Daphnia pulex: one gene and its partner. Each later gene encodes a partner of the first gene's protein in a complex. Links are inferred from orthologs where the notes say so. Each region holds a gene or a part of one and is shown in the gene's direction. Other genes may lie near its edges.

Evidence for each region.
Region 2: eukaryotic translation initiation factor 3 subunit I-like (region 1) and eukaryotic translation initiation factor 3 subunit L-like share a complex: the UniProt entries of both Caenorhabditis elegans proteins name them as parts of the eukaryotic translation initiation factor 3 (eIF-3) complex. The link is inferred for Daphnia pulex from reciprocal best matches to the Caenorhabditis elegans genes eif-3.I and eif-3.L.

The regions. Positions count from the first base shown.
Region 1 is NC_060019.1:6,188,706-6,205,027, reverse strand, and holds eukaryotic translation initiation factor 3 subunit I-like, read left to right. Parts: upstream 1-9,704; 5' UTR 9,705-9,851; coding exon 9,852-9,854; intron 9,855-9,920; coding exon 9,921-10,167; intron 10,168-10,233; coding exon 10,234-10,516; intron 10,517-10,582; coding exon 10,583-10,784; intron 10,785-10,849; coding exon 10,850-11,098; 3' UTR 11,099-11,236; downstream 11,237-16,322. Other genes in the region: tRNA-dihydrouridine(20a/20b) synthase [NAD(P)+]-like, read left to right, coding at 1-60, 132-207, 267-449, 516-724, 788-823, 901-1,118; dihydrolipoyl dehydrogenase, mitochondrial-like, read right to left, coding at 1,266-1,334, 1,403-1,492, 1,561-1,698, 1,754-1,943, 2,016-2,152, 2,223-2,444, 2,533-2,703, 2,768-2,943 and 2 more; dnaJ protein homolog 1-like, read left to right, coding at 4,165-4,389, 4,456-4,834, 4,897-5,153, 5,216-5,449; regulator of telomere elongation helicase 1 homolog, read right to left, coding at 5,802-5,872, 5,943-6,789, 6,850-7,137, 7,196-7,330, 7,396-7,515, 7,581-7,723, 7,793-8,315, 8,375-8,488 and 3 more. UniProt on the Caenorhabditis elegans protein: Component of the eukaryotic translation initiation factor 3 (eIF-3) complex, which is involved in protein synthesis of a specialized repertoire of mRNAs and, together with other initiation factors, stimulates binding of mRNA and methionyl-tRNAi to the 40S ribosome.
Region 2 is NC_060018.1:1,443,947-1,460,946, reverse strand, and holds eukaryotic translation initiation factor 3 subunit L-like, read left to right. Parts: upstream 1-5,556; 5' UTR 5,557-5,702; coding exon 5,703-5,726; intron 5,727-5,787; coding exon 5,788-5,987; intron 5,988-6,054; coding exon 6,055-6,266; intron 6,267-6,327; coding exon 6,328-6,447; intron 6,448-6,509; coding exon 6,510-6,619; intron 6,620-6,677; coding exon 6,678-6,848; intron 6,849-6,911; coding exon 6,912-7,082; intron 7,083-7,143; coding exon 7,144-7,290; intron 7,291-7,353; coding exon 7,354-7,517; intron 7,518-7,577; coding exon 7,578-7,746; intron 7,747-7,810; coding exon 7,811-7,945; 3' UTR 7,946-8,028; downstream 8,029-17,000. Other genes in the region: tubulin beta chain, read right to left, coding at 2,153-3,106, 3,178-3,513, 4,203-4,259; voltage-dependent calcium channel subunit alpha-2/delta-3-like, read right to left, coding at 9,027-9,125, 9,196-9,626, 9,692-9,927, 10,004-10,172, 10,325-10,331, 10,399-10,538, 10,609-10,727, 11,027-11,194 and 16 more. UniProt on the Caenorhabditis elegans protein: Component of the eukaryotic translation initiation factor 3 (eIF-3) complex, which is involved in protein synthesis of a specialized repertoire of mRNAs and, together with other initiation factors, stimulates binding of mRNA and methionyl-tRNAi to the 40S ribosome.

The DNA.
Region 1 (16,322 bases):
TTTCAGATTCATTTATTCAAGCCCCAAAAGCCAGAGATATTGAATTTACTACCTGTGATGGTTTGTTGAGATGAAAAGATTCTGCTTCTTGGGTTCTTACTTATTAATCTGTTTGTTTTGTACTATAACAGCTGATCAACCACTGATTGTTCAGTTTGCTGCCCATAATTCCACAGATTTTGCAACTGCTGCTGAACTAGTGGCAAGGTAAATATAAAATGTTTGTTCTAGTATCTGATAATAATACATTTCTGTATTATTCCAAGCACTTGTAATGGAGTTGATTTAAACTGTGGGTGCCCTCAAAAATGGGCAATGCAACAGGGCTATGGTGCTTGTTTGATAAACAAACCGGAACTACTTCGTGATGTGGTGCTGCAGACAAGAAATAGGATTCCTTCAAATGATTTTACAGTTTCTATAAAAATTCGAATTCATCCTGAAATAAGGTACAACATTTCAGAAAAGTTCACTTCAGATTGTGAATATGAACTTTTTTTAAAAATATTATCTAGAAAAACAGTGGAGTTGTGTCAACAAGTGGAGGCAGCAGGTCTATCCTTTCTAACAGTTCATGGTAGAACCAAAGATCAGAGATCTGATCCAGTTAATTTAGAGGGTGTAAAATTGATCAAAGAAAGTGTTAGGGTCCCAGTGATAGCTAATGGAGATATTTGTAGCCTTCAAGATGCTGAGCACGTTCAACAAATAACTAACGTCAACGGTAAACTGTCGATATGATTACGGACAGTCTGGAACTGCCATTACCCTTCTTTTAAATATCTAGGAGTCATGTCAGCTAGAGGAATCTTAGAAAATCCAGGTAATTGAAACATCTTATTCTCCATGTTTCTTATAGCATTTGATTTAATATTTTGGCTTTTGCTACTGTTTGTTTAGCAATGTTTGCTGGATTCTCCGAAACTCCCATCGAGTGCATCAAAGACTGGATGAAGCTTTCTTTAGAAACTGGTATCTCCTTCACTCACTTTCATCATCATCTCATCTACATGTGCGAGAAAAATATGTCACGAGTCGACAGGAGATATTTTAATGCGCTGTCCAGTACCACTGCCGTGATCGACTATATGGAAAATTACTTGTCTTTATGTGAATAAAGAATGATTTCGGTTGAATTTTATGTTAGGCGTTTATATTTAAGCTTGTTTCTTTTTTTACACACATACAACCTCATACAAGGACTGCAGTTAAAGAATGGGGGAATCCATAGAATTATCTATATTATAATCTAAGCTTGCTAACGCTTATGAGAAATTGATGGCTTTGCCGGAGAAAGCTGCGAGACTGGCTTCCCTCAGTGCTTCCGAGCAGGTCTGTAAATGAGAAAAACGAAGTTAGACGAAAATATTTTCTTGGACAATAATTCAAATTATTAGTATACCGGATGGGCGTGGCAAACGCGGGCAATGTCTTCGCAGGAAGCACCATATTCCATGGCTAATGCGGCTTCGTTGATCATTTCGCCGGCACCCTGAATAATATCATCAAATGTAATTTATTACAATTTAAATGACATGGTAGAAACAAAAGATAACGTACGGGTCCAATTATGTGAGCTCCAAGAAGGCGATCAGTAGTCTTGTCTCCTAAGATTTTAACCATACCATCGGTATCATCGTTTGTCTTGGCGCGGCTGTTGGCGGCGAAGGGGAATTTACCAATTTTGTATTCAACTCCCTAAATTCAATAAAGCATGATAAGTTAAAAAAGGGTATAAATATTAGGAAATTACCATTGATTTCAAGTCCTCTTCGGATTTTCCAACCCAAGCAACTTCAGGGTGTGTGTAAATGACGGAAGGTACGCAGTTGTAGTCGATGTGAACGGATCCTCCTGCAATTCCTTCGACACAGATAATGCCTTCATCTTCAGCTTTGTGGGCCAGCATGGGGCCGAGAATGCAATCACCAATGGCGTAGATGCTACCGAGTTTAACACATTTCATGTAGTACAGAACACACTATACCGAGACGTTTAAGTAAGGTGATACTCACTTGGGGACAACGGACTGGAAACGTGAATTGACCGGAATTCTTCCTCTCTGGTCGAGTTCGATGGACATTTCTTCAAGACCTAAACTCTTCGTGAAGGGACGGCGACCAACACAAACCAGTAGAACGTCGCAATCCATCTGAATTATCAGGCATATGATAAAATTAGAACGGTATGTCCATGGATAGGGGAGAGGTGTTGTTTAGTACCTCTTCTTTCTTGGCAGATTTGACATTTTCGACGTTCACAATGATTTTTCCGCCGGATTTTTGTGCTCCCAACACTTTGGTTCCCAATTTAAATTGCATGTGTTGTTTGGTGAGGATTCTTTGGAACGATTTTGCCATTTCTTGATCAATACCCAAACCACCGATTTGATTCATAAATTCAACAGCCGTCACCTTGGCTCCAAGTCGAGACCACACTGATCCCTATAATTATTTAATTAATTAAGAATTTTTTTTTTTTTTAAATATTATTTTTTTAAAGCTTTTTTATGTCAAATAAAGTAAATGTTACCAATTCCAAACCAATGACTCCTGCTCCGATGACAATCATTTTCTCTGGAACGGTTTTTAAACAAAGTGCGCCAGTAGACGAGACAATTTGTTCTTCATCGATATCGATTCCGGGGAATGGTGTCACTTCTGATCCCGTTGCGATCAAAATATTCTTGGTTCGGACGATTTCCTACCGAGATGAAAACAAAATAGAATTTTCCATGAAATACACAGTTAATATTATTAATTAATACCTGGGTTCCATCTTCTTTAAGAGCAGTAACTTCATTCGCACCAGTAATTTTACCATGTCCTCTGATGTGTGTCACTTTGTTGCTCTTGAATAAATGAGCAATTCCTCCAGTTAAAGATTTCACAGCTGTTTCTTTTGCTTTCATCATTTGAGGAAGGTTCAATGAAAGGCCAGTAACTAGAGAAAAGTATTGATTTAATTCAGTTCACATTATAAATCTTAAAATAATTAATCACCATCAATTCCTCTATTTTTGAATTCACTTTGGGCCATGTGATAGTAGTGAGAATTATTCAATAGTGCTTTGGAAGGAATGCAGCCAACATTAAGGCAAGTGCCTCCAAGGGTTGCATTTTTCTCTACACAGACTGTTTTCATTCCCAGCTGGGCAGCCTTGATAGCTGCCACATAACCACCAGGGCCCGAGCCAATGACCACCAGATCAGCTTCAGTACTGTCAGAGTACCATCTGCAGTTAGCTAATTGGTTCCTGACAGCTGCAGTGACCTGTAACCAAGAAAAGATATTACATAATAAGTTTATTCTTTTTAATAGCTACACCAGATTAAAGAAAAAAGAAGGCTCAACATGTCTTGGTCCCCAATAAACAGTTAAAATACGTTGAATCGCATTAGTACGGTGACGAAATACTTTTTAAATTTTTATAATAGATAATTTTTTGAATGCAATGGAAATACCTTAAGATTTTGAGGCAATTTACTCAAAATATTAACTTGCATTTTTATTTTAGTTCTTCACGATTTCACGAGCTTTTTCCCAGCGGTCAGAAGTTGTTCAGCTGTTCAGCGACACTATCACCATCTGTACTAGAAAGGGTGAACTATGTTAAAACTTACAAATTGTTTTTCTTTCCACCAGGAGATGGAAACGTGTTTTCCAGACTATTTGAGAACGTTCTCGATTCATAACAAACGGATACATACACTCGCTGGGGCTCATTTTCTCGCTATTTGAAGCTGTGACTTGTACGAGTCGATTAAGTCGAGAAATCTACTCTTGCGAACAACTAGTGTTCCAATAAAACAAACGTTTTATCATTTAAGTGTTTCGAGTCCAAGCTCTACTATTCTGTAATACAGAAAGGTAATAATCAAACGTTTTAACTAGTACGTATTGGTGGTGGGTTAAATTGTGTCACAGTCCAAACTTAGAAGTCGACGTCATCGACGACCCTGAATCGTTGACCTTCTTTGGGCATCACGCATCACACCGTTTTGTTACTCTCCCTCTTTTCCTTAAGAATTTCCTACTTAGATTATTTTAAACATATTGAGTTTTTTAAAATTCAGTTATCCCCAAGCAAAATCCAATTACCCTCCATTAATCAAGTTCTCTTTTGTTTAGTTTTCACTTTCCAATACATTCTAGGCTTCCTTCATGAAAATGGGAAAAGATTATTACAAAATTCTTGGAATATCAAAATCAGCTACTGATGATGAAATCAAGAAGGCATACCGTAAACTGGCATTGAAATACCACCCTGATAAAAATAAAGCACCAGGTGCAGAAGACAAATTTAAGGAGGTAGCAGAAGCATATGAAGTTTTAAGTGACAAAAAGAAGAGAGATGTCTTTGATCAGTATGGAGAAGAAGGATTAAAGGTAAGAAAATGAACTATTCTCCTATTAAATGACTTAAGTTTTTACATCATATTTGTACTTAAAAAGGGTGGATTGGGAAGTGGTGGTGGCGGCGGAGGAGGAGGCGGCGGCGGTCCGGGTGCCAGCTTTTCCTACGCCTATCATGGTGATCCAAGGGCCACGTTTGCTCAATTTTTCGGTTCATCCAACCCTTTTGAATCCTTCTTCACAATGGGTGGAATGGGTCAACAGCAGCAAGGTGGAAACAGAGGATTCTTTCCAGAAGGTGGTGAAGACATGGACGTGGATGACCCTTTTATCAACTTGGGATTTGGAGGAAGAAATCCCGGGGGAGCTTTCCGATCTCAGAGTTTCAACATGCACGGGCCAGGAATGGGAAAAGAGAAAGTACAAGATCCGCCCATTGAATACGACCTTAACGTCACATTAGAAGAAGTTCTTAAAGGTAAATTTATTTTGTAATACTCAGTTCTTGGATTTGTGATTTACTTTGCTGGCTATTTTTAGGATGTACCAAAAAGATGAAAATCTCCCGCAAAGTTTACCAGGCAGATGGCACGTCTAAAAAAGAAGACAAAGTATTAACCATAAACGTCAAGCCAGGCTGGAAAGCAGGAACAAAAATCACGTTCCAGCGAGAAGGGGACCAGACGCCCAACAAGATACCCGCAGATATTGTTTTCATCATACGAGACAAACCTCACGGGCTGTTGAAGAGGGATGGCTGCGATCTGCGCTACACTTCCAAAGTTTCCCTTAGAGAGGTAAGAGATAATATATTATAAAAGTTTCGTTCGAGCAGGTTACCTAAACTAATTATGTGTAGGCTCTTTGCGGAACGCTCGTCGAGGTACCCACTTTAACAGGAGAGAAGATCCCTGTGGACATGCTGAACGAAATAATAAAGCCTTCCACAAGCAAAAGAATAGTTGGTCAAGGATTACCTATACCCAAAGACCCAACGAAGAGAGGAGATTTGATTGTAAATTTTGACATCAAGTTTCCCGATCACCTGGCGCAGAGCGTGAAAGATATCTTACACGACACATTGCCTAAATAAAGACTGATTTTTTTTTCTTCAAATATATCGTATTTGTAAACGGCGGGCGACGAGCTACGAGAAGTGTTTTCGGGAAGAACAAGTAATCGAGCATAAATTCACTAATTCGTTTTGGTTAAATAATTGGCTACGCTTTTGTTACACTGAATCTATGAAAATATTGAGCTGTATATGTGTTAAAGTGTACAATGTTTCTCACCTTAAAAACTTAAGAAATAGACTATTTCATTACACGCTTGTTTAAACGGAATTTTCAAATAATTCATACATTTGTAATTAAGTTCGTAATTCGTGTTTATCAAATAGAAAACAAATTTTTAATTCACCATTAAAAATAATAAGAAGAAATGGACTAAATTTCAATTTTTCTACAATCTTCATCAAACTTTGGCGTATCCTCCTTCGATAGGAACTGACGAAATCCTTAAAGATAAGAAATACAAAATTTAGACGCAAAATTTTTTTTTAAGCTGCCCTTTTAAATTTGACTAACCTTTGAACAGATGACGGAGTTTGTGATCTTCAAGAAAAAGTTTCTTGAGTGTAGGAATCAGCAAATCGTAGTTCTTATCAGATCGGTAGTCCCGAATCTTGTCCGAAAACGTAGTGTAGCGAGTAGGGTCCAGTAAAGTCTTGACGGATTTTAAATATTGTGCTGCTTTTTCCCTCCTGTTATCCGTCCCAACACCAGTAGACTGGCAGGAGGACGTGGACGCCATAGAAGACGTCGGTTCAGCTGTTTCAAGTTTAATACGCCGGAGGTCGTACTTGGCCTTTTCTGCATCCGAAACAATGGTTATTTTCCTCTTTTTGATGGCCGGCGGACAAACTGGTTTCTTATCGGGAACAATCGACAAAGAGGGCGAAGCTGTTTCATTGAAATCAATAAAATGGTTTGTTGCTTGCGATCCATCAAAAATGGAAGTTTCTTTCGCCAATTTCGGCTTCAAGGTCGAGGAATAACTTGAGAGATCCAAGTGATAGGCTTCAGCTTGAACAGTGTTTGCCTTTGCAGGATGATGAGAGGTTACTCGAGATGAACCCGAGCTAAGAGCATGATGGAACGAATCCACGGTAGAACGTGAGTTCTTCGTTTTGTCACGATGTGAATCGACTGCAGTTGGCGCTCGTATAGCTCTAGAGGAGCCAGGACATGTGACTTCAGCATTACGGAAGAAAATCCCGAGATCGCGCAATAACGGACCAATTTTGGGGAAATTCACTACACGTGGCCGAACCCAAGCTGACAGCTGTTGAATAATATCTTTACCGGAAAAACGTTGATCACATAGGAGAATAGCTCCGTAATCCTTTTGATGACGAATGACACGACCGATTGCCTGTAAAAACACAACAAAAATTACATGAATGAATCAAAGCAGTTTCTCAAGTTAACAAACCTGATTGACGGCTCTAGTGGCTTCCAGTCGATACCATTGTTGTCCTGTCAATCCCTTAAATTGAGGATTTTTACGGTTGTCTTCAAGGTACTTTTGTTTCTCCATGACTCGAGGATCACGCGACGGTGGATAGGGAAGCCCAGTAATAATCACAGCCCTGCCATTGCCGTCACAGAAATCCAATCCCTCAGATACTTTACCACGGCAAACTGCCATGAAACACGCACCTTTGCGATCTTCGGACGCAACCGCATTATAGAAGCCAGTCATAGCCTCTTGAAATCCTTCCTGTAGACAATTTCGTTGAAATACCCAGTCGTAAAATCATACAATCTCAATTATTCACCTTAGAATTGGGTTCAACGAAAATGGGTTTCACTTGATTGATTGCGTCCCATAGACCAGAGAGCTGCCAAGCTTCTTGACAAGCTTTCATTACTGGATACGATGGGAAGAAAACCAACAATCCATCAGGAACTACCTGAAATAAAATTAATAATCGAATAAAAAAACTTTCAAGAGGTTTAAAAATAGTATGACTATTACTTGTGCGGTGCTCCGGATAGTTCGACCCAATGATTGAACATACTGGGAATTGGATCGATTTTTGTAGCTGCTGTCTAACTGAGTACCATCAGGACCGTGAGTAACAACTCCAACAAGAACCTGGAAACCGGAAGAAATAATCAATCAATGTGCAATAATATTCTTTTTACGTCGAAAACTTATACTTGGCTGCTAGAAATAATATGAGGATTTTCAAGTGTAACGGGAAAGGGGACTTGCAATTCAGCAGCGAAACTGTTTAGCGGTGAGAGAGTTCCACTTGTGAGAATGAGGCATCTGGCTCCTTCTTCCACCAAGTCCCGCATTCCTGTGAAGTATCGTAATAAACTATTGTAACCAAAAATTAAAAAAAAAATAAAAATATTATAATTCTTACCAAAACCGGGACTGAAACACCAGTACGACAGAACTCGACCTGCTTTACCAACCACTTTGGGAGTGCTCCAAGAATCGCCTTTGCTACGAGATTTTGGCTGCTCAACTTTAATATGAACCTTATATGATCTTTTCACACGTTCCATGTGATCGGCAGTAAAATGGCTTTTACTGAATACAATCTTGACTAGATCAGAGAATTTTTGCAGTCCAGTGCCTTTACGCTGATATGGAGATGTGCTGGCAACGGTTAAAAACTGAATAACCCGATCGAGGAGATCTGCAATCACATCCTTTTTCCCAGGACTCAGATCTGCCTTGGCTAATATATCCAGCATAAATTCACCAGGTAAAGTATTTCCCTCCGGCGAAGTGATTGGTATCGCATCGATTGCTTTCTCTAACTCCAAAAACATGGCTTTCAAAATACAGAGGTCATCTAAAGAGAAATCTTTCGGTGTTGAAGGAGATAAAATATCCATTATTCCATCATTATCACTGTTTTCTCGGAATTTTTTCATGACCTGGAGTAAAAAGAACGCTAGAAGAATATACACCACATAATAAAAAGGATGTCGTTTACCTGGGTGACTTCATCAACACAAAGGGCTATATCTAAACTTCTAAGTTCAATAGATGAAGATTCTTCACACATTTTCTCAACATTGTGGGCCTCATCAAATATAACAATATTTCCCTAAACAAGCACAAAAAAAGAAGTTAATATTTCATGCACCTTTAAAGACTACTAAATGTACTGGGAATTACCTGGAGTTCAATGTTGTGAATTTTTCTCACTTTAGGATCAAGAAGGTAGTTGTATGGCATAAAGATGATGTCAGCTACCTTACGAATTTCTTTTGTCATAAAATAAGGGCAAGCAGAATGTTTTTTCCCCAAAGTCACCAAGTCTTCAATATCCAATACATCCATTTTGAAGTCTGGTTCCTCTTTCTTAGCATCTAGATTTGTGTGGAAGTAGCAAGTACGAGTAGTAGTTCTAGCATGGCACATGTGAAGCTTTACAGCATTGTTTGTTTCCTTTGACACTTCTGGATGAATGCACAGTTGGTCACGAGATCCAAGGATGCATACCTTAAATGAAGAAAAATAAAATAAGGGTTATCAAAACCCATTTCATGTAGGCAAATAGCTTTAATGGAAGAAGGAAATGCTCACCTTCATATATCTGTAAGAGGACCGTTTTAATTCAGAAATGACCTGGCTGAGCTGAGAATGAGTTCTGGATGCATAAATGATTTTGGGTACTCCAGCTCCAGGAGTAGCAGCATCTCCCCATCCAAGCCCAGTTGCATTACTTAATTGATTTTTAATATCCACTCCCATATCTCCAGCTAATTGACCAGACTGTATTTGTGCTTTTCGTGTTGCTAACCAACCCAATGTCGAACAAAGTAAGCACAAAGTTTTTCCTGTGCCAGTAGGAGATTCCAACAAACCATTTACACCCTATTTAATCAAGAATAACAAAATAAGAGCAAGGTGTCCACTGACCGATAACGCAACACTAGTTACTTTTTGAAGACATTCTATCACACGCTCCATGAATTTCTCTTGTACATCATAAGGCTGGAATGGAAATTCAATGGGAACATTATTTAAAACCAAATTCACCATTCTAGATAAATAATTTTGGTAATTGTGTTCCACGAGACACACGCAATGTGAAGGAACACGCAATGTGAGGGAACCCGCCAAAATAGTTGAATGAGAATAGCAGACGATGTTAAAACTGCTTTAACTTCCCTAGCGAGTAGCGCCCTCTGAAACAAATCGAAAAGTAAAATTATTTTTGCTAGTGTCATTTTAACGTTACGCGTGATTAAAGAATAAAAATTAATTTTTTTTTTTTTTGTATAAAGTTTAACAGTTTTGATAAGATTAAAGATGGTTCGTTTTTTGGTGGGTGGGTGGCAACACTGTAAAATCGAGCAGGGCCGGCAGACGAGTGTTGTAAAAACGTCGAAAGGCCTCAGTCGCCCCACGCCGAAAGAAGTGTACGTCATTATTACAGTTGTGACCAATTAATATAAACAAAAATGGTAATTTTCAGTGCATTTCTGTTATTTAATTTCATTATATTAATCCACTGTTATTGTTGATCACAGAAACCTCTTATGCTTCACGGTCACGAGCGTTCAATCACGCAAATTAAGTACAACCGGGATGGAGATTTGCTCTTCTCGTCAGCCAAGGACAACCACCCTTGTGTCTGGTATTCAGTCAATGGAGAACGATTGGGTACCTACGAGGGACATCAGGGTGTCGTATGGGCGATTGATGTTGATTGGGAAACTAAACGTTTCATGTCTGGTGCTGGTGATAATATGCTCATGATCTGGGATGTCCAAACTGGTATGTTCAGTGAGAAATGACCCCATTGCGTAATTACGACTTAAACTTTTCTTTGTTTTTTTTTAGGCAAGGCTTTGGGTAAAATTGAAGCCAAGACTTCAGTTCGTACATGCAACTTCAGTTACAGTGGAAACATGGCCCTTTACTCAACAGACAGTACTATGGGTAACCCTTCAGAGATCTTCATCATTGATGTCAGAACGGTTGACTCTTCCTTCAGTGAAAATGACCCCATCCTGCGAATTCCATTAACTAATGCCCCTAAAGCCACATCAATGGTTTGGGGTAATCTAGATGAGGTTGTTATTTCTGGTCACGACAATGGTGACTTGGCCCAATGGGACCTCAGGTGAGAATGACATTGTCGTAACCTTGAGTGCTTAAAACTAAATCCTGTTTATTATTTATACTACAGAACTGGCAAGAAGAACAACCTGGTTTCAGAACACGCCAAGTCTATCAACGACATGCAGCTGTCCAAAGACGGAGCTCTCCTCATCACTGCATCCAAGGATTGCACTGCAAAACTCTTTAACGCCGAAACGTTAGAGTGCCTAAAAACTTACAAAACTGAGCGACCCGTCAACAGTGCCGCCATCTCACCCATCATGGATCACGTATGATCCTTGAGCTTCTAAATGATTCAGTTGATCGATTCTAACTGTTTTCCTTCAATCTTCAGGTGGTGTTGGGAGGTGGTCAAGATGCCATGGACGTAACGACGACCTCAACGCGTGTCGGCAAGTTCGACGCCCGTTTCTTCCATCTGGTTTTCGAAGAAGAATTCGCTCGTGTCAAGGGCCATTTCGGTCCTATCAATTCTCTGGCCTTCCATCCCGACGGAAAGACGTACGCCAGTGGTGGTGAAGATGGTTACGTTCGTTTGAATCAATTCGACCAGTCTTACTTTGACTTTAAATTCGATTACTAAACCAGAAGAAAAGCGAAAAACCTACGAAGAACCCAATCCATCATCTATGAACACTTGTCTTGTGTTTATTTTTTGACCACTTTCGTGTACATGGGCGATATAAGAGAAGGTATTTGAATACATCATGTTGGAAAGGTCTCGAGTGAGAATCTTTTTTGGGGGGAAAATTTATTTCTCAAGAGAGGGCACGAGACGAAATTAAGCGTATACAAACAGGTTCGAGTCGCCTGTTTAAGAGGAGAAAACATAACTGATATTGTTTACAAACAATTCTTTTGAAATCTTTTTCTTCTGACGAAGTCCATTACAGGGTTTACGATATTCTAATCACCTACTGTTGCGCATCCCAAGAAAACTTGGCATTTTGCGAAGAGAAAGAGCTCATCAGTTTCCTTCTGGTAGAAGTTTTAATGGGAGACATTCTTGTCCCAGCTGAACGCATTGGAACTTATTACGACTCTAGCGTCTTGCCAACATGGTCGGGACTATCTCGAGCGACAAGGAATCATTGAGAAGCTCGCCGGTAATTTGGACGAGGCTCCTGCAGATCCTCTTGCCTCGCCTGCTCGTTCCCGGGCTTATGAAATTTATCGGTTCGCTGGCTCATTTTCAACCGGATGTATTAGCCAGATATCCGAACTTTACAAATACGATGTTCAACTTGATCGACGACTCCGACGTTTCAATGAGGATGATTGCTATTGAAACTACTTCCTTTATTGCAACTGAACGCGATGGCAAGTTCGCTCGGAATCAACCGGAATCAACAAGGTATAAAATTAGACGTCTACCATTCTCTTATTTAAACACATTACTAATTTAACGTTACTCTTACCTACTTGGTTCCAAACTGGATAATGCAATCAAGGCTATATTGGAGCATTATTCACCCATGCTTATAACGACGTCCGTCTGAATGCACTTGATTCCTTTGCGGAGTTGATACATATCCCTTCAACCGAAGTATGCCAATGTATTCTTGGTCTTTATTATTAGCTTTTTATTTATATTATTGACTTTATAGACGACTGACGAGGAATTACGAAAAATCGTCGAGCGTTGGTTTCATCAGCTTGACTCCAAGCCAATCCAGTTGGTTATGAACGTTAAGAAACAACCATTCAAATAAGATTTAAGGTGATTTAAGGTTTTCTGCTCTGCGCATATTTCTGCAACTTGTTCCTCAAATTTGGGCTTAAATTCTCATGAGTCAGCACTCAGCAGCCAGGTAAAATAATGAATGGATTGTTTCTTGTTTAGCTTTTTAATAATTCGTTAATTATTAAATAATAGGTTTCTTTGAGTTTCTTCTCGACGGACGGGCTGAGCCAGATAAAGACTGTCACGAGCTGAAATTCAACGTCTTTTTTTAAGACTTAAAACTGCATCGCGGTTTTAGAAATTTGATATTTTTAGGTGCACTTATGTAAGAGAAAAGACTAGTTAGCGGCGCGCATAGTTATTTCGAACTTATTTCGATTTTTGATTAATTTAGTGTTATCGCATATACAACAAAATAATTAACAGTGTCTGTGACTCTGTGACATGGATTGGATAAGCCGTTTTTGCACCCAAAAATTATGAATGAACTAGGTCTCTTCCAAAGGTTTGATAGATTGTAACAACGCCATTTTTATAAATGAAAATCGTTTCATAAACATTTGAGTGGTGTCATTGAATGCATTGACCCTGTTAACCGCAACAGGTGACTCTTCTTATTGTCACTGGTAGTTGTATACAAGAGAGTAGCCAAAATGATTGCAAAAGTGCCGACAATGAATGTCGGCGTTAAATTAGTGTCTTCCAGTACCGAATAGGAAAGAACGCAAGTACAATCGAGTTAGATGTTGCAAATGTTTTCAGAATGTTGTCGGCAAATTTCATAGTTCCCACCACGATTATTGCTTTGAGCGTCTTTTGAATTAAGAATTGAAAAAATTACAGTCGAGTTCAGTTATTACTTACCTATGGAAATCTTGATGACTCAAGTATAAATGAGGCGATTGACATTGGATGGCGAGTTGATGGATCGGTAAGTACTGAATCACACAATCTTGTGCAACACGAAATTCCATTTAATAAATGGTATAATCGTAATTTTCAAATATAACACTCGGCATCAGACAGGCGAACTATGAAATCTTAAAAAGACAACCTTTCCAATTCGATCAAACGATTACATGCTCCGTGGTTTACGATCTGCAGTGGGATCCCGACCGTATGATCTGCGCAGGGAATGGTGTGAATTTAACTTCTCTTTTTCAGTGAAAGACTAAACAAATTATTTTTGAACGTTTTTGAATGCTATTTACAACGACCAACGATGCTTGCAACGAGACCATATCTAAGTTGCCCGATATTGCCTACCAAAAAATCAATAAAGTTTAAGTGTGTTGGGAAAAGATCACATAAAGATATCGTATATTTTTCTTTTAATCTCATCAAAAAAAGATAACAAAAAGATAGCCTATAAAATTTTCGTTATCTTATCTTTATTTTATTATCTGGAGCAAAACACTGTTAATCATTGCTGATAATTGGATTTCAGAACTTTCCGTACTCTTCAGAAAAAGAAGCACGTTTCAATCGTCATTTGAAAAAAAAAAAGTTCCGGGGGGACCTCTAGATACGAAAATAAAATACAAGTAAATAACTAAATAGAGAAATCTTGTCAAGTAGAGAAATTATTTTTTATTTTCAAATTGCCTTAAACAACAGATCAAAATTCGCCTCTCCGGCGTTTCCATGTGTACCCGCCTAAATATATATATCTGCGATAACTCTTGAGAATAAAATTGAAGCGCCAATTTTTCTTAATCCAAATCGCTGTATCGTTCCAATTGGCGATATCGTCACGTGTAATTCTGGAAACCGATTGCTCACTGCAACACAAAATGATTTCTCTTAAAGGATTCAATTCTTGCAGAAAAATTTCAATTCCGTTTTTAGTGACAGAGTTACAGTTAAAGATATACAATTGTTCGAGATTACCTCCATCCTAGTGAGATCCAAAGTGTGAAAATGAGGAATCATCGACAGCTCAAGGAGCGGTTTAGTTCTGAATGTTGTCAGAAATTCGAACCGCATTTCTTGGCATTTCTATATCCCTAAGAATCCTCGTAAGTTCCTCCAGTAGTACAGTGGCTGATTTTTAGAAGTTATTTTATTAATACCATAAAATCTTTTTATTGTTTTATTGAAAATATTTTTAGCTTACGCTGTTTTATTAAGGAGTTGACTTCATCTGAATCCATAGCTTCCGTGCCATCCTCCAGCTCTTGTAGTGTAAATCTTTTACAAAAAAAATCCTGGTTTTCCAAAATGAAATGAAAACGTAATTCTTTCAGAGACTTGGTGCTTTTAACGTTTGTGGCATGTTAGCACAGCAACTTCAATCTTAAACTACAATATGAAAAATTTAGCGCAGCTTTAGCACGCAAGTAACACTTTCCTGAACATTGAGTTAATGAGTGAGAACTGCGCTAAAAATTTATAAATGGGCTGTACAAATATGGGTGGTGGCTATCGAAAAAGATTTTTTTTTGTTAAGATCTAATTGGCTTCAGATAAGGGGTGGAGCGATGTCATACCTAAGTTAAACCTACAGAAATCGGTACCCTCAACTGCCTTCTAATCCTTGAACATGTAAAAGAGCCTTAAAAAATCTGTCAGGGCATGCATTCAGGATCATATTGGCTTCCGATAGGTGTGAAGCGATGTCGTAGACTAAATTAAAGTACACACAAACCGTATCCGTGACCTTTGGTGCTTTGGACATGTTAAAATGGCTTTGAAAAAAAAACTGACAAGGGCATGTATTCAGGATTAAAAGCAGATACTTAAAGTTGGAGGTCACGGTTAGTTAATGAAGAAATAATTGTTCTTGCCAAAGAAAACCCTTTGCAAAGATCAATGCAGTTCAAGGGAGTAGGGAGGATCATTGGACTGACGAATATTAATCAATAAAAGATTTAACGAAACGCTATAGTCATCAGGGACGTGCAGAATAATGTCAGTTGAGCTACGTTTAACGACATCCCCATCAAAAATGTAAAATGTTTTTGAATTTTACTTGATTGCTAAGCTAGATGGCGTTCAATACAAATCATCTAAGGTATCAAACCGTTCGAACCAAAATTTGGCGAACGGGAAAGGTGATCGAAGCCGATTCGTGCATAAGAATTATTTATATAGATTAGTTACCTCTCGGAAGGAATTCTCCTAGAAGAACAGCAGTCGGTGTTGGACCAATCCCTGAATGACCCCTATTGTAGCCCGGAGTCGTCAGAACAGGTGTTCAAGAGCGCGTATAGAAATCGTCCTCGTCCAGTTCTCAATCTTGATTGTACTCGCCAGTTGGAACTACTTTGGGTTTAGTTTACTCCTCCTCAACAGTCACTTCATCGAAGATCAAGCCCATCGAAGAAACAACTTGATTTAACTCTTCTTCGCCGGTACGAATGGCTCGCTCTAACTCTGAATCAGCTTCGATGGACAATGATGCGCGACCCAACTGTTGCATTCCAAAGGCAACGGGGACGTGATCCTCTTCATTAGACGGTACACCAGATGCTGACGATAGGCTGGATGTGGGTAAGATGGCGTAAGATGGCTGGATTCTTACTAGCACTGCTCTCATATAGTCTCATTCCATTGTGCCTTCAAGTGACGTGGAATTGGTTTGGCATACGGAACGTTCCTGATGGGTTTCTGCTAATGGCTCCACATCGAGACCAGAAATCATGTCTGCGCTTAAAAAACTGAGAAAACTCTGACCGAGTTGTCCGTCTCCGACTTCTGCTTCCACTTTGTCTTCCGGTTCCATTCCCGCGATATTGGGCGCGTGATGGTCATCCAGCAATGGTCATCCAGCAATGGTCATCCATGGCAGTTGGAGACTCCTCACACACCGCGTTCCAACCAGCGGCTTGAGAAATCACTGCGGAGAGTAACGCCTCAAGTTTCCTCCAATTGAGAAGAACGGTATGATAAAGTGAGTCCGAACTTGCGCGGCTGTATAATAGTTTTTTTTCTATTGGAACAAACTGTTGTATGGTTTCATCTTAAAATTAGATCTGAACGAAATGAGCGTGTGCGCTAATTGAAAATGATACGCACTCTGTACAGGCCTTCTCGATTTCTGGAAGGCCACCACGCTCGTATATTTCCCATTTTCCTGGAAGAAAAAAATAGTCGATCGAATATAGCAAATGCAATGCACATG
Region 2 (17,000 bases), on another chromosome or scaffold:
GGTATTTCTAATTGTTATAGGCCTAGTGTAGAGTTATTCTTGTTTTAAATATTTGTAGAGGGGAGGGGAGACCGGGGCTTTTTGGGACATTTTTTTTACGCTGCCCATTTAAAGTTTAATATGTTCATATTTTGCGGCATGGAATGGAAGGAGGAAATAAATACAAAAATTTATTTTTCTACATCTTCCAGTTATATATTTACTGTATGCTCTGTTATGCTTTCTGTATCACCATTCCGAGATTTATAGTCATGAAGAAGGCGCCAAAAGATGCTACCGCGCACATTAAGGCAATTGTCAATCGGCAACTTCCAAATAGAGAAGCTGTGCAAAATTAGATGTTAATGATGTATCAGAAAAAAAATATCAAAAGAATCGTACGAGCTAATTGCTGAGGTTTGTCAACTTCACTTTTTTCCGACATTTTTAAATGCTGCGATTGTATGTGACTGAATGGTGCAACAACCTACTTGAATCAACAGCCAATCAATCGGGAGATAAGGAGATTTATAATCTACGCGTTGATATCCGGATATTTGTTTTTGTAATTTTTTTTAAGCGCTGCAGCAAGGGAATAAAAATGACCCAGAATACTATGCTCATATTTTAAAAAGTAGGAAAACTATTAACTTAATAAGATTGAGAAAAATTGCTGTTGGGGGGTCATTTGTATCAAACAACGACTAGTCTGTTGTTATGGTAACCTGGTAGCATTATGATGCCATCTGATAGGGTGTTTCTCTTTTGTTGATTGCTCCTTTGCATGATTCTTCTCTTCCTGTGTATAATTGTTTACCCCAAAAAACGTTACCCCTCGCTTTCGACACTCTCCGTCTGTCAGTTCTATCAATTTCGATGCGCCTGAAAGGGGGACATTTGTCACATTTCCCCTTGATTTTTTATTATTAGCAGTTTTAGAAGAATGAGTCATACATAACCATAGCGTGAATAAACTAAAAACAGCTCTTACTGACCGTTGATCTCATCGCTTGCATGACTTTTGATGTAGTAGTTTTCAATCGATCCATTGTTTTCTATGGGTGTCCTTCGCCCTATTTTCGCTGTTGCTTGGTAGTTTGATGAAACCATTATGGAACAGGTGATCGAAGTGAAGCTGCCGCTCGATTCGGGCTTTGGAAACCGCCTCCTGGTCGTCGTCATGGAGATGAAACCGCGGAATTTTCCAACCAAAACGTCTAGTCATATTTAATTTACTACCTCCCTTATTTTCTCATATCTTCCATAAAACAACAGCAGTCCAGCGGCTCCCTTTCGTTGGCTACATTACGACCTCTCACACAAAGCCCCTTTCAACCGTACGTGGTCGTTACTGTAAATGCAATAAAACTAGACGGATTATATAAGGATGATAGAGTCCAATAAAAGACATACTAGATTTTTAGCCTATCCCATCGGCAGCGTCGGTGACACAATAGTGTTGGATGACCTACAGTCGCCACAGCGCTCATCACAATTACGTTGTCAAGGATATCTGAAATGAACGTCATCAAGGGCGATGCCCAAAACGACTCACCGCCTCAGCAGGTCCGTTCGTTAGAGCTGCGTGCGCATTATTCACCCAACGGGTTATTTTCTACATGAGTCACAAGCCTTTCCATTTCGGGGAGGAAAAGTAAAACTCGCATTTCTCTAATTCACCAATGGAAACGAGGCTTTGTGCATCAAGCATACGCCAGCAATACTGAATGCCAGATAGCAAAAGTGGTGTTAATTATCATTAGGGTTAATTAAGCAAGAAAGAGGAAATTGAATTCAGCTGGTGACTTGGCTAACCTGCATTTATTTTGTTCAGAATGGTTGCGCAGAGAGATGAATGTACACAGGGAGACAGTCCAGTCGAAGGAGATCAGATCTGGATGTTGTTTCTTAATAAAAACAGGGAACGTAAAAAAGAGCGAGGAATGTGGAGAAATACGAAAGAGTTGCTAGGGGATGTTCTAAAAAGGAAAAGATAGTCAGGAAAGCATAAAAGGATAGGAAGCGAAAGGCATGGTAGTTTTTAAAAAGTGAAGAAAGTGCACGGACATCAGCAGCTGGACTAAAGGGCGGTCTGGGAGTGCAGTAGATGGAAAACATTTCTCCCACATATTTCGGCAGTTCTATCAAGGACGGAGAGGGCAAAATTGCATTTTTAAGCAGCGTCTTGGTCGGCGTGGTCCCCATCTTCCTCGAAATCAGCCTCATCATCGGCCGTAGCTTCTTGGTATTGCTGGTATTCGGAGACGAGATCGTTCATGTTGGACTCGGCTTCGGTAAACTCCATTTCGTCCATGCCTTCACCAGTGTACCAATGGAGGAAAGCCTTACGACGGAACATGGCAGTGAACTGTTCCGAAATACGTTTGAAGAGCTCTTGGATGGCGGTCGAGTTGCCGATGAAAGTGGCAGACATTTTCAGACCGCGAGGAGGAATGTCACAGACGGCTGTCTTGACGTTGTTGGGAATCCATTCAACGAAGTAGGATGAGTTCTTGTTTTGAATGTTGAGCATCTGCTCATCGACTTCCTTCATTGACATGCGACCTCGGAAAATGGCTGCAACAGTCAGGTAACGTCCGTGGCGAGGATCGCAGGCGGCCATCATGTTTTTGGCATCAAACATCTGCTGGGTCAGCTCGGGAACAGTCAATGCGCGATATTGTTGAGACCCACGGGCAGTGAGGGGAGCAAAGCCAGGCATAAAGAAATGCAAACGAGGGAAGGGCACCATGTTGACAGCCAATTTGCGCAGGTCAGCATTGAGCTGGCCGGGAAAGCGAAGGCAAGTAGTAACACCAGACATGGTGAGGGAGACCAAGTGATTCAAGTCACCATAGGTGGGCGTTGTCAATTTGAGTGTGCGGAAGCAGATATCGTAGAGAGCTTCATTGTCGATACAATAGGTCTCGTCCGTATTTTCGACCAATTGGTGGACCGAAAGAGTGGCGTTGTACGGCTCGACGACAGTGTCGGACACTTTTGGTGAGGGGACAACAGAATATGTGTTCATGATACGGTCAGGATACTCTTCACGGATCTTGGAGATGAGCAAAGTTCCCATGCCAGATCCAGTTCCGCCACCAAGGGAGTGTGTCAGCTGGAAACCCTGTTTTCACATGACAGCAAAACTTTTATTATAAAAAATCATCTCATTCCAAATTAAAAAGAGTTATTTACCTGAAGGCAATCGCAGCTCTCGGCTTCTTTGCGGACAACGTCAAGAACAGAGTCGACCAATTCAGCTCCTTCAGTGTAGTGACCTTTGGCCCAGTTGTTACCGGCTCCACTTTGGCCAAAGACGAAATTGTCAGGGCGGAAGAGCTGGCCAAACGGTCCCGAACGAACGGAATCCATGGTGCCAGGCTCCAAATCCACAAGAACAGCACGGGGAACGTATTTGCCTCCGCTTGCTTCATTATAGTAGACATTGATGCGTTCCAGTTGCAGTTCAGACTCGCCGTGGTAGGTGCCATTAGGTTGGATTCCATGCTCGTCAGAAATGATTTCCCAAAACTGCAGGAAAAGGTAAACAAAAAAAGAGGGAGAGTTAGAAAAACCTGCCCAATTTCAATGAGTTTTTAAGTGCTATACACACAGTATAAAATCTAACTACACCTAGGGAGGAACTGCTAGATAACCCATCAGTAAGGGCGCTGTCACAATGAGGGGTTGGAAAATGTCGGGGGAGGGGATGTTGTTTCACATACAATTGCCCAATCGAATTCGGTTCACATCTGCCACATGGATGCGCGATATAACATTTGAAGGTTAGAGGGGAGGCTCACATTTACTTTTTAAGTTTATGGTCGTTAGCCTCAATTTTTTTTTTACCCCACCACTTGGCACGACTACACTATCCGGTTTTTTAAAAAACAAAGTGCATCGAAACAAAACTAATTAGAACTCGCCTTTTTGTGATCTTGCCGGGTACCGGTTCACCATTCAAGCCTGGAAGCTTTAGATTGATGGCATGAACAATCGAGAAGATTGCATGAGAAAGGAGTATGCAATCAAATCAACAACATTACATTTACTCTTTTTTTTTTTGCAACATCTTGAGATGAAAGGGGCCGGACAACAAAGAAAAATGGCGGACTAGCGCCAAATGGGCATAAAAAAGGTGTCTTGCACACCGGTCTTTCACTGCAGCAAACCATGTCAAATATCTTATCATTCTAAAATAATGAAAATATAATATTTACCTTGGCTCCAATCTGGTTACCACACTGTCCAGCTTGAATATGAACGATTTCACGCATTTTCTAATATTTTTCGAAATGAAATTGAAAGAGAAAAACTCTCAAGTTTAACGGTCAACGTGCCTCGCGCTGGAATCCTCTGGATATGAATTTCCGTTTGCAATGGGACTGGCATTTATAACCTCATGAACAGCCTTGGGTGCAAGAGGGCGGAGCTTGATTGTGTTGCGCATTGCCATTGGTCCACGAAATCAAACATGAAAGCCAAATCCTTATTGGGAGATTCGAAATTTGCGTCCGCGCGTTTCGGTTATTTTTTGCTCCTAGAGATGCAGAGTTTATATGTTTCTGTATATAGTTGGCTGAATATTAAAAAACGGAGATATGACCCAATCAAAATTCTAAATAAGTAGAGAAATATTTGCAGGGCAACGTTTTTGGTTTGTCTCTAGTTCCTTTTATTGAACGTTATAATCTTAAACTTCAAAAAATGCCTGCTTCCATTTAAGTTCAGTAAAATATTAGAATTAAATATAAAGTTTCGATTAAAGATAAGATAACCCACTTATTGTCATCGGTGTGGCGAATATGGTAAGAAATAACACGCTTTGAAAATTCATTCCTTTTCCGTGGTTGGTATGTGATTGAAATATTGCCAATTACGTCTCTAAAAGGAAAGAAAACCGGGAACCGTATAAATTCAAAAACCAGTTTGTACGGCATCATGGTTTGCGATTTTCGAGTTGATTTCAAAGTAATAAAACCTGTTCGGCACTATTAACCATTGACTCCAGCATAGTTTTATGTAATCCTGCTTAAATGCATTAGGCATAATGGTCACATGAAACCACAAAACACTTATTCCAAACATGGCAAATAATCACCATGACAGCAGTACACACATGTATGCCGGTGAATCACGCGACAGGGGACGAGCCGGAGCCGGCGAGAAACGTAAAAACTCGGTCCCAGTTGTAGCAGACCTCTGCCAGACACGATCAATACTTATGTGTCTAGACAACCCATCCTGCAACTGCAACAAATCCACCTCAGCAGTGTTTTTATGGTTCCTGGGAAACACAGCCTGAATGCAGCTATTGGAGTGCTTGATGTCTTCATCCGTAAATTTGAAACAATTTTGGTAACCATTTTCTTTGAATATTTACTTCCTGATCAACTTTTGATCATGATTTGATATACTTGCTATAAAACAGAAAAACAGAATTGTAATGGCAGTCCCGTTTAGCATTGAAATCTGTTAAGTTTAAGGTAAATTAATCTCAACCGGAGTAAATAAGTTTGACGATCGATTTTTACATTCGAATTTTTGACAGATGATCTTTTGGAAAATTGTTGAGTACATGCGGCAACGCTGTGCAGCTACTATTATTTGACACTAGAGCCACTAGTAATCGAAATAGTAATCTTACTCGTGGACTTTTCTCAATTTTCCGCAATTTTCAATTGAAATTTAATAACTATCGGTATTGAAAAACCTAAAAGATGTATGCCGAAGAATTTGAGGATGTAAGTGTACAATAATTACAACATGTTCTGTACCTATCATCAAAAACTTTTTCATTTGTAGTACGAGTATGAAGCCGATGCCTATGAGCCAACCGGGGATCCACGGCTTGATGCTGAAAATGAACGATACACTAGCTATGGAAGTGCTCCCCAATATGCTCAATATAGCATGCCGGATGTGATCAAGAAATTCATTATTTATTTTCGAGAGATGGTAAACTCTGGAAAGTTGTATGAAATTCAGAATGTCTACGAGAACACGTAAGCCCACCACAGTGCCTGTCAGACAAAGTTGAATTGTTGATCCATTGTTTTTTACTCCATTTAGATTTCCAAAATTAACTGAAGAGCACTTCAAATCATCCCCTTGGCCTGATGCAGATGAAGTTTCCCCATTAGTGGATGATGATCAACCGTTTCTGATTCTCTACAAGGAACTTTACTATCGCCACATTTATGCACGAATCCAAGGAGGACCAACAATTGAACAACGTTTTGAGTCTTACTACAACTACTGTCAACTTTTCAACCATATTTTGAGTACTAACTTCACTAATTTTTAGATGTTTGCCCAAAGCCTTCATAAACCATTTTACTACAGGTGCTAAAAGTCCAGTTGTTTTGGAGCTTCCTCATCAATGGCTGTGGGAAATAATTGATGAATTTGTCTACCAGTTCCAGTCTTTTGCTCTTTTTCGTTGTTCTCTTCATAAGAAATCAGGTACACCCATCATCTTATGCTCCATCTTTTCTTTTCTCACCATTTTTTTTTTTTTTTTACAGCTGAAGAACTTGAATTCATCAGAATCAACCCAACTTTGTGGAACATTCATTCTGTATTGAATGTGTTGTATTCTTTGGTTGACAAATCCAATATCAACCAACAATTGGAAGTAAGAAGGAGAGAATCATTATTGGTTGTAATTTAAAATTAATACAATCGATATGTAGGTATACGCCAAAGGTGATGATCCCGATACCGTAGCAGGAGAATTTGGCCGCCGACCTCTTTATAAAATGTTGGGTTACTTCAGTCTTGTTGGATTACTGAGACTCCACTCATTATTAGGAGATTTCTATCAAGCTGTTAAGGTTCTTGAAAATATGGAACTCAATAAAAAGGTAAGCGCAAAATTAAAAATGATTTGCATTGCTTGTAAACGTAATCCATCAATCTCATTTTAGACTCTGTACTCCAGAGTACCTGCCTGCCAAATCTCAACTTACTATTATGTTGGTTTTGCTTATTTGATGATGAGGCGGTATGCTGATGCTATTCGGACGTTTTCCCATATTCTACTCTACGTCCAGCGCACTAAGCCATTATACCAGGCTAAAACATACCAAAATGACCAGGTCAATTAGATTTAAGTGAAATGAAATACTGAAATCTTAATCTCCTTTTTTGTGTTTATAGATCAACAAACAAACCGAAAAAATGTACGTTCTACTGTCGGTGTGCCTCGTTCTTCATCCTCAGCGCATCGACGAATCTCTACAGGCGATCCTGCGAGAGAAACCTCATGCCGAACGCATCGTGCGGATGCAAAAGGGAGAACTTCAAGTGAGTTTCTGTTGATATTTTTTAAAGTTAAAGCAACAATTTAAATTTGTTCAATTATGTTAGGAATTCGAAAATGCATTCGCTTTCGCTTCTCCGAAATTTTTGTCTCCTGTTCCACCTCCTGTCGAAGCACCACCTGCCGATCATCGCCGTGAACCATTTCAACAGTTGGCAAAAGTTTTCATGGATGAAGTACAACAGCAACTTACTTTGCCAACGATTCGCAGGTATTTGTTCAACATTAGATTTGAATGTCCGAGTATTATTAACATAAATTTTCTGTTTAGTTATCTACGTTTGTACACTACTATGCCTGTCGCCAAAATGGCTGCGTTTTTGGAAATGCCCGATACTGATTTCCGCACCCATCTGCTATGCTTCAAACATAAGATGAAGAACGTCGTTTGGACTAAAGGCACCTCTGGATTGGACGGTGAACTCCAATCAGGCTCTGAGGTGAAATATCTTAGAATTGTAGTTCTAGTGGAATGTATCTTATTTACGCTTTTGCTCGCATTAGGTGGACTTCTATATCGATGGCGGAATGATCCATATTGCTGACACGAAAGTAGCTCGGCGCTATGGTGATTACTTCATTAGACAAATCCATAAATTCGAGGAAATTAACCGCGTATTGAAGACACAAAAAGTTTAAAAATCCGATGCTTTACCTCCTTTAAATATGTTTTACATCTTATTGGTTTTTCAAAGGCAAAATACATAACATGGAGGAAGTTAGTGATTTTTAACTTTTTTTAAAGAGAATTTTTTTCTTACCTTTAAGTCCGACAAGTTACAAGGAAGTCAAATGAAATGAATGTAAGGCCACCAGTGATGTTATGTACGTTTCTCTTATTTTTGAATGTATTCAAATGATAAGATTATTTTTATTAGAGAACATTTTTTAAATAATTGGACCGAAGATCTTACTAGAAATGTAGACCATTGGCATCCTCATAGGAAATGTAAAAAAAAAAAAATGCTATCTAAAATCAAACAAGGGGAATTCAAACACACAAGGGCAATTTGAAAATTTTCAGTTTCAGTCAAAGCATCAGTAGGGAATATGAGTTTTTTTTTCATGAAAAAAAGCACTAACAAAAAGGATGACACGCATTACCCACGGCAGATGGAACGAGAAGAATCGTATTTGCAGTAACGGGCACATGAAAAGGACCTTATGTCCCCTCTCCAAAACAAAAAGCATTCGATTACTGCTGGTTGAAATTAGAATATCAAACGTCAATGTGAGAGTTTTAAATAAATTTAACATTTCAGGACTGTAACAATTTGAAAATTAAGAAATAACAAGCTTGTCAGTCACCACCACAATTAGTCCATAGAGCTCACGACAAACAATTACGCACCATTTACCAGCCAGATGAAGAAGCACGCTCCGTACCAGAACATTTTATAACAATTGATATGTATGAAGTAGGCTTAGTACGTTTTCTTATCCAGCTGAATACTTTGTTGGGAAGTCGTCTTTTTTTTTAAGCCCAATGTCGCTCACACTATGCACATTCATAACCCATGGTATCACCAACACGCACACTAAAGTCATCAATTTAGATCCATAAATAAATAAGAGCTGTTGATACATGTCGACCACCATACATCGGGAGACTAATAAACTAGCCAAATAATATAAAAATTTTGAGGACCCGAGAATTATGAATCACCCATTCACTCAATCAAAATGATGCAACAAGACATGCGGGACCGGTGAAATCAAATTAAATCCATTTTAAAACTGAATAGATTAAGGTTGCTGTAAGTAGAATGGGAGACGGCAGTAAATTATTTCCTTTACCACACTGTTTGATTTCCTCCTCCTAAGGCGATAAGAAAATGCAGAAACAAGAATATTATGCTGCCAGTCATCTCTGCAATATTCTCACTTACCTCTGGATGATAACTGAGACAGACGGAGGGACGCTGACGGTACAAGCTTTCCTGAGGTCGTTCGCAGCGTAACGACTCGTTCATTTTGACTTCCTCCATTTCAATCTTTTGCTTCTGTATTTCACACCTGCAAGTTGTGTCAATGACTAGTAGTAGCAAATTCGAGTGGGGTATCTTGTGGGTGCTGTAGTGTCTTTCGCATTGGCGGGCGCCCAAATTGTTCGAGTTGCAGTTCTGTTTTCCTTTGACCGAGTCGGGTTTGTCGCCTTTAAATAGCTTTTCGGGTTGCAGCACATACAAGTCTGCCTGTTGGTCACATGGTCTCGGTCGGGATTTATTGGCATATGCGTTTTCCATTGATACAGCTTCGTCGTGGACGATGATTGAAATATCTCCGTCGGCCATGAATTCTCCACCCGTTGGAACCGGTCCTGAAATGGTTGATTTTAAAATAGAATTGATTCTGTAAAGAAAGATCTCATTAATGCATCCTTACCGGGACTACCATCATTATCCTCGTAGTGGTAATCCGATTGCTCTTGTTCCATGCCCCAGGCCCAGTCCGGATTGATCAAATGAGCAATCTGAGTTTGGAGCATTATCCAAGAGGCGCGACCAACCATCCATTGAACGAACCACTTCATGTAACGTAATGGTGTTAGCAAGAAATTGGCAGCACTGCGGTGCCCCTGCATATCCTTGCAGACAGCTTGATAGTCGTAGATGCGGACCCTGCAGAAATAAAGCAACCCCGATGAGGAAATCGAGCGAACAAGAAAGTGGCTTGGCTATTTAATATATTTTATACCTTTTAAAGACACCGTAATGGATCAATGAATCCATAACAAGCCAATCGATTTCACCAAAAAAGCGCCCTGTGTCTCTCTCCTCCTTTGAGATCACGATGTATCCGTGATTGTCCACTACGTAACACGACAAATCACCGGAACTGCAAGTTCGCCTGCATTGAACTCCTCCTATTTTGCATTGCATCGGTAGGTATGCGTAACAAAACCATCAAATGAACAAATATTTTTTAGTAGTAGTAATCCTTCGGCCTAGGATAACTTACCACGGAGGATTACTACAACTACTAAGTAGGATAGGATATATATAAATGTATACTAACCGGTGCACTGTAATAATCAAAAAAATATGTTTAAAAATGCTGTTTAAACTCTGTAGCTTGTCAATCAAATTTACCCCCGACGTGATGTTGAAGAAAGTTTCTCGGAAGGCGCTGTTCTTGTATTGAAGTCCTACGACAGCGGCGGGAGCTTTGTAGCCGCCCTTCTCGACGAAAATGGCATGAGAGGCAGTAACTACACTCTCATTGGTTACTCCTAATATGTGCACAGTGATAATGAATCTCAGACAAACGTTTGACTAATTACTCGTGGACTCTTCACATACCTGTACCCGTGCTGAACGGCACCGAGTAGACAAAGCTATCCGGTTCTACAGAGTATTGATCGACGGCCCTCTTGTACCAAGTCTGGTCGATGGCGTTGAGATTGGCCTCGCTAAAATGCCTGCATCCAACAGGGAAAACAACAAAAATGATGAAGAAACCGCCGTATGAGTAAACAATAAGGTCTAGCGTAATGCAAGAGTTTGTAAAAGGCAGCCATATCAATAATACTTTCAAGTAGACTATTAAGCTCGTCAGCCTATTGAGTTTTGCAAGGGATAAGCGGGTAAACAGAATCTACCATATACTTGATGACTGGCTGCTTAATGGCGAAAGCGTCTTTCCATGTTAGCCCATCTATACCAAGTTCAAACTTGCATCTACTGTACTCTGAACTCCTCTCGAAGCGGACATATATACCTCGCCGGTTTTCGTCTTCGTATGATGAACGGAATATCTAAGCGAATCGTTTTACGTAAAATTCTACTTTGGAAACGTTTCTTGAACTGGAAAGGTTTCCGTGGAGCACGCTTCACTCTTCTCGTCTGCCGATCCCACTGGGCATGCCTCCGACGTACCACATGCAAACTTGAGGCCCGTAAACATGTCGCAGTTATATTATTAATGCCATTATCAATAACTAACTAAAGTATTTTAATCAACCGAGTTCGTTCCCTTTACGATGACAACTTTTAACGGACCGTCATGCCATTATACACGAAATTTAACACTTACTTGTCATCAATGGTGCTGATGTCCTGCCAACGTAAGAGGCCACTGCGAGTGGCGACAAAGGCGACCGATATACCAAACAGCTTAAACATGGCGTGCCTGTATAGAAAATGAAAGGAGAAATGCCAAAATATTACTTCCATGTGATCAATCACAAGTTTTCTCTTAGCGGCCCTACACTAGACGAGGTGGGATTATCTGGCAAAATACAGTTCAACGCCATAATATAACCAAACATGTTATAATACACGCAAAACATTGCGAACAAATGCCACAATCACATAATAAAAGAGCAGCACAATAGAGAAGATCATTTGATTAATTCCAATCCTTGGAGCGGCATGATAGACCATGAATGATTAATTCCAATCCTTCTTTGGCAGCGATTGGGACAATGTAATAATTATTAAGAGCAGCAGAGAAGAGAAAAATTAAAGATTATTTTAAAATTGTTTCACTTTCAGTTAGTCGTTTCCTGTGAATAAAAAGCTATACATTATTAGTACTGAAACTCTGTGCGATACTAAATTCAAAGCGCAAGTAATTTCAAAGCAAACATATAAAAGTTCATTTTTAAAAAACGGGCCTAAGTGGGGAGCATCGAAAGAGCGACAGTGATGTGCCAAATTACGGCAACGTGAAGTCAAGGTTACTTTACGTTCGTGATACGTTACCTGGCTAGTAGTGCCATAAGCATGCCTAAACCTCTGTGTGATTAAGTGCCGGTGACACAAAAAGAGAAAATTGGAAGGAAAAAATAGATTTTGAAATGCAAAAAAATGATGCAATGGATTAGTGGTGCTCATGGAAAAATCGTGATGACATCAAATTAAAGCTAAGAATGTTGTCGTGTTTGATTTCGTGCATGTTGTGTGATCGTGAGTGAACATTAATCTAATATTATTCGTTTAAAAAGGACATATAAAAGGAAACACTTACGGATCTTGTCGGTCAATGCTAAGAGAAATGTTCTTGTCGAACACTTCGGTGGCTTGGGCGTCAAAAATCAGTGATTGCATCAAATGTTTGTCGCCTAGGAAAGAAAAAGAAATAATTAAAATAAATTTGATTAAGTTATTTATTAGACAAAAAGACTTACAGTAGTAGTTGTCTTCTTGTTTGTGAGCTTAGGGAGTCCAGAAGAAAAAGTTTAAAAAACGTTATGGCCAAATAAGTTCCTAAAAGGATTTTCATATTTCTTACAGCGGACAGTGTCGTGGGAAGGCCGCGGGTGCTTCGAGTTCCAACGCCATCGCTCCCGCTGCGTCCGGCCGACAAAGTGCAGCACTTGAGCCTCGGGCGTATCGAACGATTTCAGATGGTCGTAGTTGTAGCGGCAGTAGATCCTGTTTGCCAAGAGAGCAATCAATATAAGCTTACTGATGGCCGTTTGAAATCTTCAAAGTTTCGCGGGGCTTTTCATTACCAGTCGGGGTGAATTTTCCAATTCTTGCCGGAGAAGAAGGACGAAACTGTTCCAAATAGGACACAAAGAGTCGGTAACAATAACCTACGATCTAAAAATAATATTGACTATACCGTTGATGTTGTGATCAGCCGACAGACGCTTGACTTCGGTTTCAGCCGCAATGCGAAAATCGCCGTATCCATCAGGCAGCGCCAAACCGAGGCTATAAGGGGTACCCTTCAGCCCGCGGTAATAATAGCGCTGCCGACGAACGCTGACTCTCTTCTACAATTGAATAACATTTGGCTTTTAACCGCTGGAATTTTTGTTGAAATCAAATTTCCAAACTTACCATGCCATCGTGGTGAATCCTCACTTTGAACGTCATCTCACCCTCGCGCCGCTCGATCATGTCGCGGCGCATCTGAATTATTCATTTCAATTCAAATGAAATGAGTTACGCCACATTTCAGCAATGATTCAATCACAACTTACGGTCATGAGATTCGTGTCGTTTTCACGCGGACCGCCGTCTGAATCGACCAACTCAATTTCGGACAAATCGACCGTGTTGTAGTTGGGTTTCAGGAGTCCGTCCGCGTCCTATTTCAAATCGATCCATCCGTCGTCAAATGAGAGAGATTAGTCTTAATTTAATTTGATGATTGGATAACCACTTTCGTACCAGGGGTCGGTGATCGGGATGGTAGAGAACGTAGCCGTTGTTGTTGACGATGAACGAGTACCCGTTAACACCCAACTGGATTTTTAAGTATTTTTTTAAATAGAAGGATCCGACAAAATCCATTAGGAAGGAAATGATTATTATAACACACGACTGAACATACCTTGTAGGCGGGCGTTCGTTTCTTCAGTTCCGTGACGGGTATGTCCGTACCGGCCACTCCAAGAAGATTGGCGGTCCTTACCTGATCATGGCGCCACGAAGATTGAATTACGAATTTGTTTGATCTCGTTAAAATCAGAGAGAGAGAGAGAGAGAGAGGGAAACTCCACCTCTAGCCACACTCCTACACAGCACAGTTCATTGCGAGATAGGGAGCGACTAAGAAATTCTACGTTCTACCGTCTAGAACAGCGTCGTGCAATGTTATACAGTATGTACTATATGGGGGTAGAAATGGATCTGATGAACGTTTTGGCTCAACGCCTCAACTAATTATACAAGACGGTAAATGGAGACTAGAGCATACCAGCAGCAGCAGCAGCATTTACTTGTAAATGGTTGCACGAAGACAAAATTCTTCGGCAGCACAATCAAATGGACGCTATAGACTGATGTGTGTGTGTGGCATCATCACTAGATACTTTTAGTCTACGCTAGAGATCAAGGATATGGATAATGAATCAATCAAACGACATTCACACCCTGTACTGGATGTGTTGTACCTCGCCACTCGTTATTTAATTTGAAAAACGTCTACTGGAATCTATGGTTGTAGGCAACTGCACCACGTTTTGATACACAACTCAAAGACTACACAAGTTTCCAAACTGTGAAAACGGCTAGGCTACATATGTACGTAAATATAATGGCAAAACGGATAATATTTCGGTTATACGTTTCCAACCATAGGGTGACAATAGCCTACACGAGTATACAGCCAAATTGATCTAAGCCTGTCATTGCCCGTTCAAATGGCCGCTTCAACTATGTCTAGATAAAAGATGATATGCGAGTCTGTCGAAAAAATTCACGTAGGAGTAGGAGCAGCAGCAGCGGCGGTTGCAGCAGCACTACGCAGAGTATCAGTAGGATCAAACCAAAATCCCATCATGCAAATGTTGCGGCATTGTTTCCATATGAAATTGTCTATACGTCAAAGAGTTGGCCTCTTCCATAAACGCTTGATTACATTGGCAGCTTTCCGTGATTTGAAATGAGAATTTTTGTTGCAAATAAAACAAAAGAAAAATCGCAAATGTCTGAGCGTTATGGAAGATTCCAAGCCTTGACAGCGGAATCAAACAAGGTCAAAAAGAGCTACGAAAAAGTGTCTAAGATATGTAGTATATGTATAACTGTGGACTATCTATTGACAAGCTCTACGGCGGCTGCAATTATATCTGCTTTGATTCGTTTCGTTTCTTTACCGTTCGCGTTTTCTCTTCCCAGATGTCGTTGATGAGTATTTTCTCAATGATATTCTATTGTACAGAAGAAATTCTTTGTTTTATGTATCCCCAGCATCGGTTACACTGGTGTTTTTAAATAGTGTCAATTGACTTTATAAATATCAAATGTCAATCAGCATGTTAAGTTCAAAAAGACTATCAAGAGGTTTTCTTTTTTTAAAAAATGAAACGGTTTGAAAAATTCAGACAAAGAAAAAAGACAAAAAAAGAGACGTAAAATAAAAAAAAAATTATGATTGTCTTACCGATTCATTCTTGCGGTCGTAAACTGGAGTAGCCACCGAGACCGCCATCAAGAATTTCGGTTTAGTCCGAGTCTGCATAGTTTCAAATGTCGGAATTAAAATTTTGTTTAAAGTAAAATAACAACAAATTTGACCCCAACTTGCAACCAAACACCGAGTATAAACATAAAAAACATCAAATAATAGATCGAACATTTAAGTGTCGTGTCCGAAACATGAGCTTCTAAAGAACGAAATATAGCGAGAAAAACGTGACGATCAAAATGAAACGGCTAAAAGTGAAAAGTCAAAAGAATATATGAGCACGAAAGGCGTAGTGACGTAATTTTACTGAACATATGATGTGCGCATCGGCATAAAAATAAGAAAAAAAACACAAGGACCTCATAGTCGATTCGTTTGAGCCAAGCTCTGAGAGTCTCAGGCTTGACAAGCGCCTCAGCTCGCGGTCCATCAGGATTTCGAGTAGGAGGTAACACTGGACGGGGAGTGGTGCTGGTTATCTGGACAACATGCGTTGGACGGACCACCAAATCACGTCACAGACGTACAGACACATGCAAATTGCACAGGGGCATTCCCCCACATCCAGCATGCACAAAACCGAAAAAATCACGTTAAAACGGTTGGAAACTGAAAAGATAAACTTGAAAAAAGTTGCATTATTAAGTCGTCAAAGCTACGAAATTAGTATTCAAATCAAAGAGACTGACGCCTTGACGGTTATTCTGCTGGTTGCCGGCAGGAATAGCTGCTTCTTCGCGCTCCTGTTTGATCCGATGAGCATTGAGCCGCTCCTCATTGACGAGGTTGCCATAGGTCAAATATTGTTCAACTGTCATACTGATGGTGGGTCTGCCACTGGCATCCCGACTACTGTTGGTCGTCACGTTTGAAGTGTCGTCGCTTTGGGCGTTGTTCCGATCGCTGATCAACCGCAAGAGAGCACGGTAGTTGAGCGAACGATCCCGCTGCTTCCGACGTTCTCTTATCTCCCACAGCCAGTCACTCAATTTGGGTTCCTGGTATGGGTCATGCAAAGGGGATATTTCTCCATTTCATTCACTCAAAAGAAGGTAATTGCACATGTCAAGCACATCTCGTTAAAAAAAAAAAACTAAAAATCACGTGGCTGGGAGTTAAATCTAAATCAAGGCTTAAATTCTAAGTTTAATCACTCTCACTAGTAATGTTGGGGTTATTATTTGTTTGTCAATAGTTTTGACATCTAAAGGGAGTTAGAATGAGCACGTTGATGTATCTTAGGCTAACTATTATGCAACAGCAAATATTCGCGAAGCTTTCACGAGGAAATAATGGAGGGGACCTTCGTTTCTCGAATCGTATTTTCCACCAATACCTTTGTTGGCAATGAATCCTCTGCTGGGTCACAATGGACACTTGACAAAAGGTAAACAATGGGAGAAATTGGAATGGAAATGTCGATGGTCAAAGGTCATAGGAACTACATGAGGATATACAGAGACAAATCATTGGAACGGTCACAGAGTCCACCAACAGAGAATGTATGCATTCACCATTATTGGGCACCCCCACTCTACGAATTGTACCAACATTTCCTTATTGGCTGGAGAAATGGCTAAACATTAGCTGTTTCAGTGAAATTAGTTTACGATAACTAAAGAAATATTCAACATGTGGCAGAAACTGTCAAAATAATTCCATTCCAATGTAAAATTGAAGGCTTACCGCTATGTCGATGTAAGCTGAAGTCCAGATGACGGGATGATCTTTTTGGTACATAACCATGGGACGAGAGAGGACTGGAATATATTTGAGCACTTGCTCACGAACTTCAGCCAGGGATGTGACTCGAGCAAAATAGCCTTTA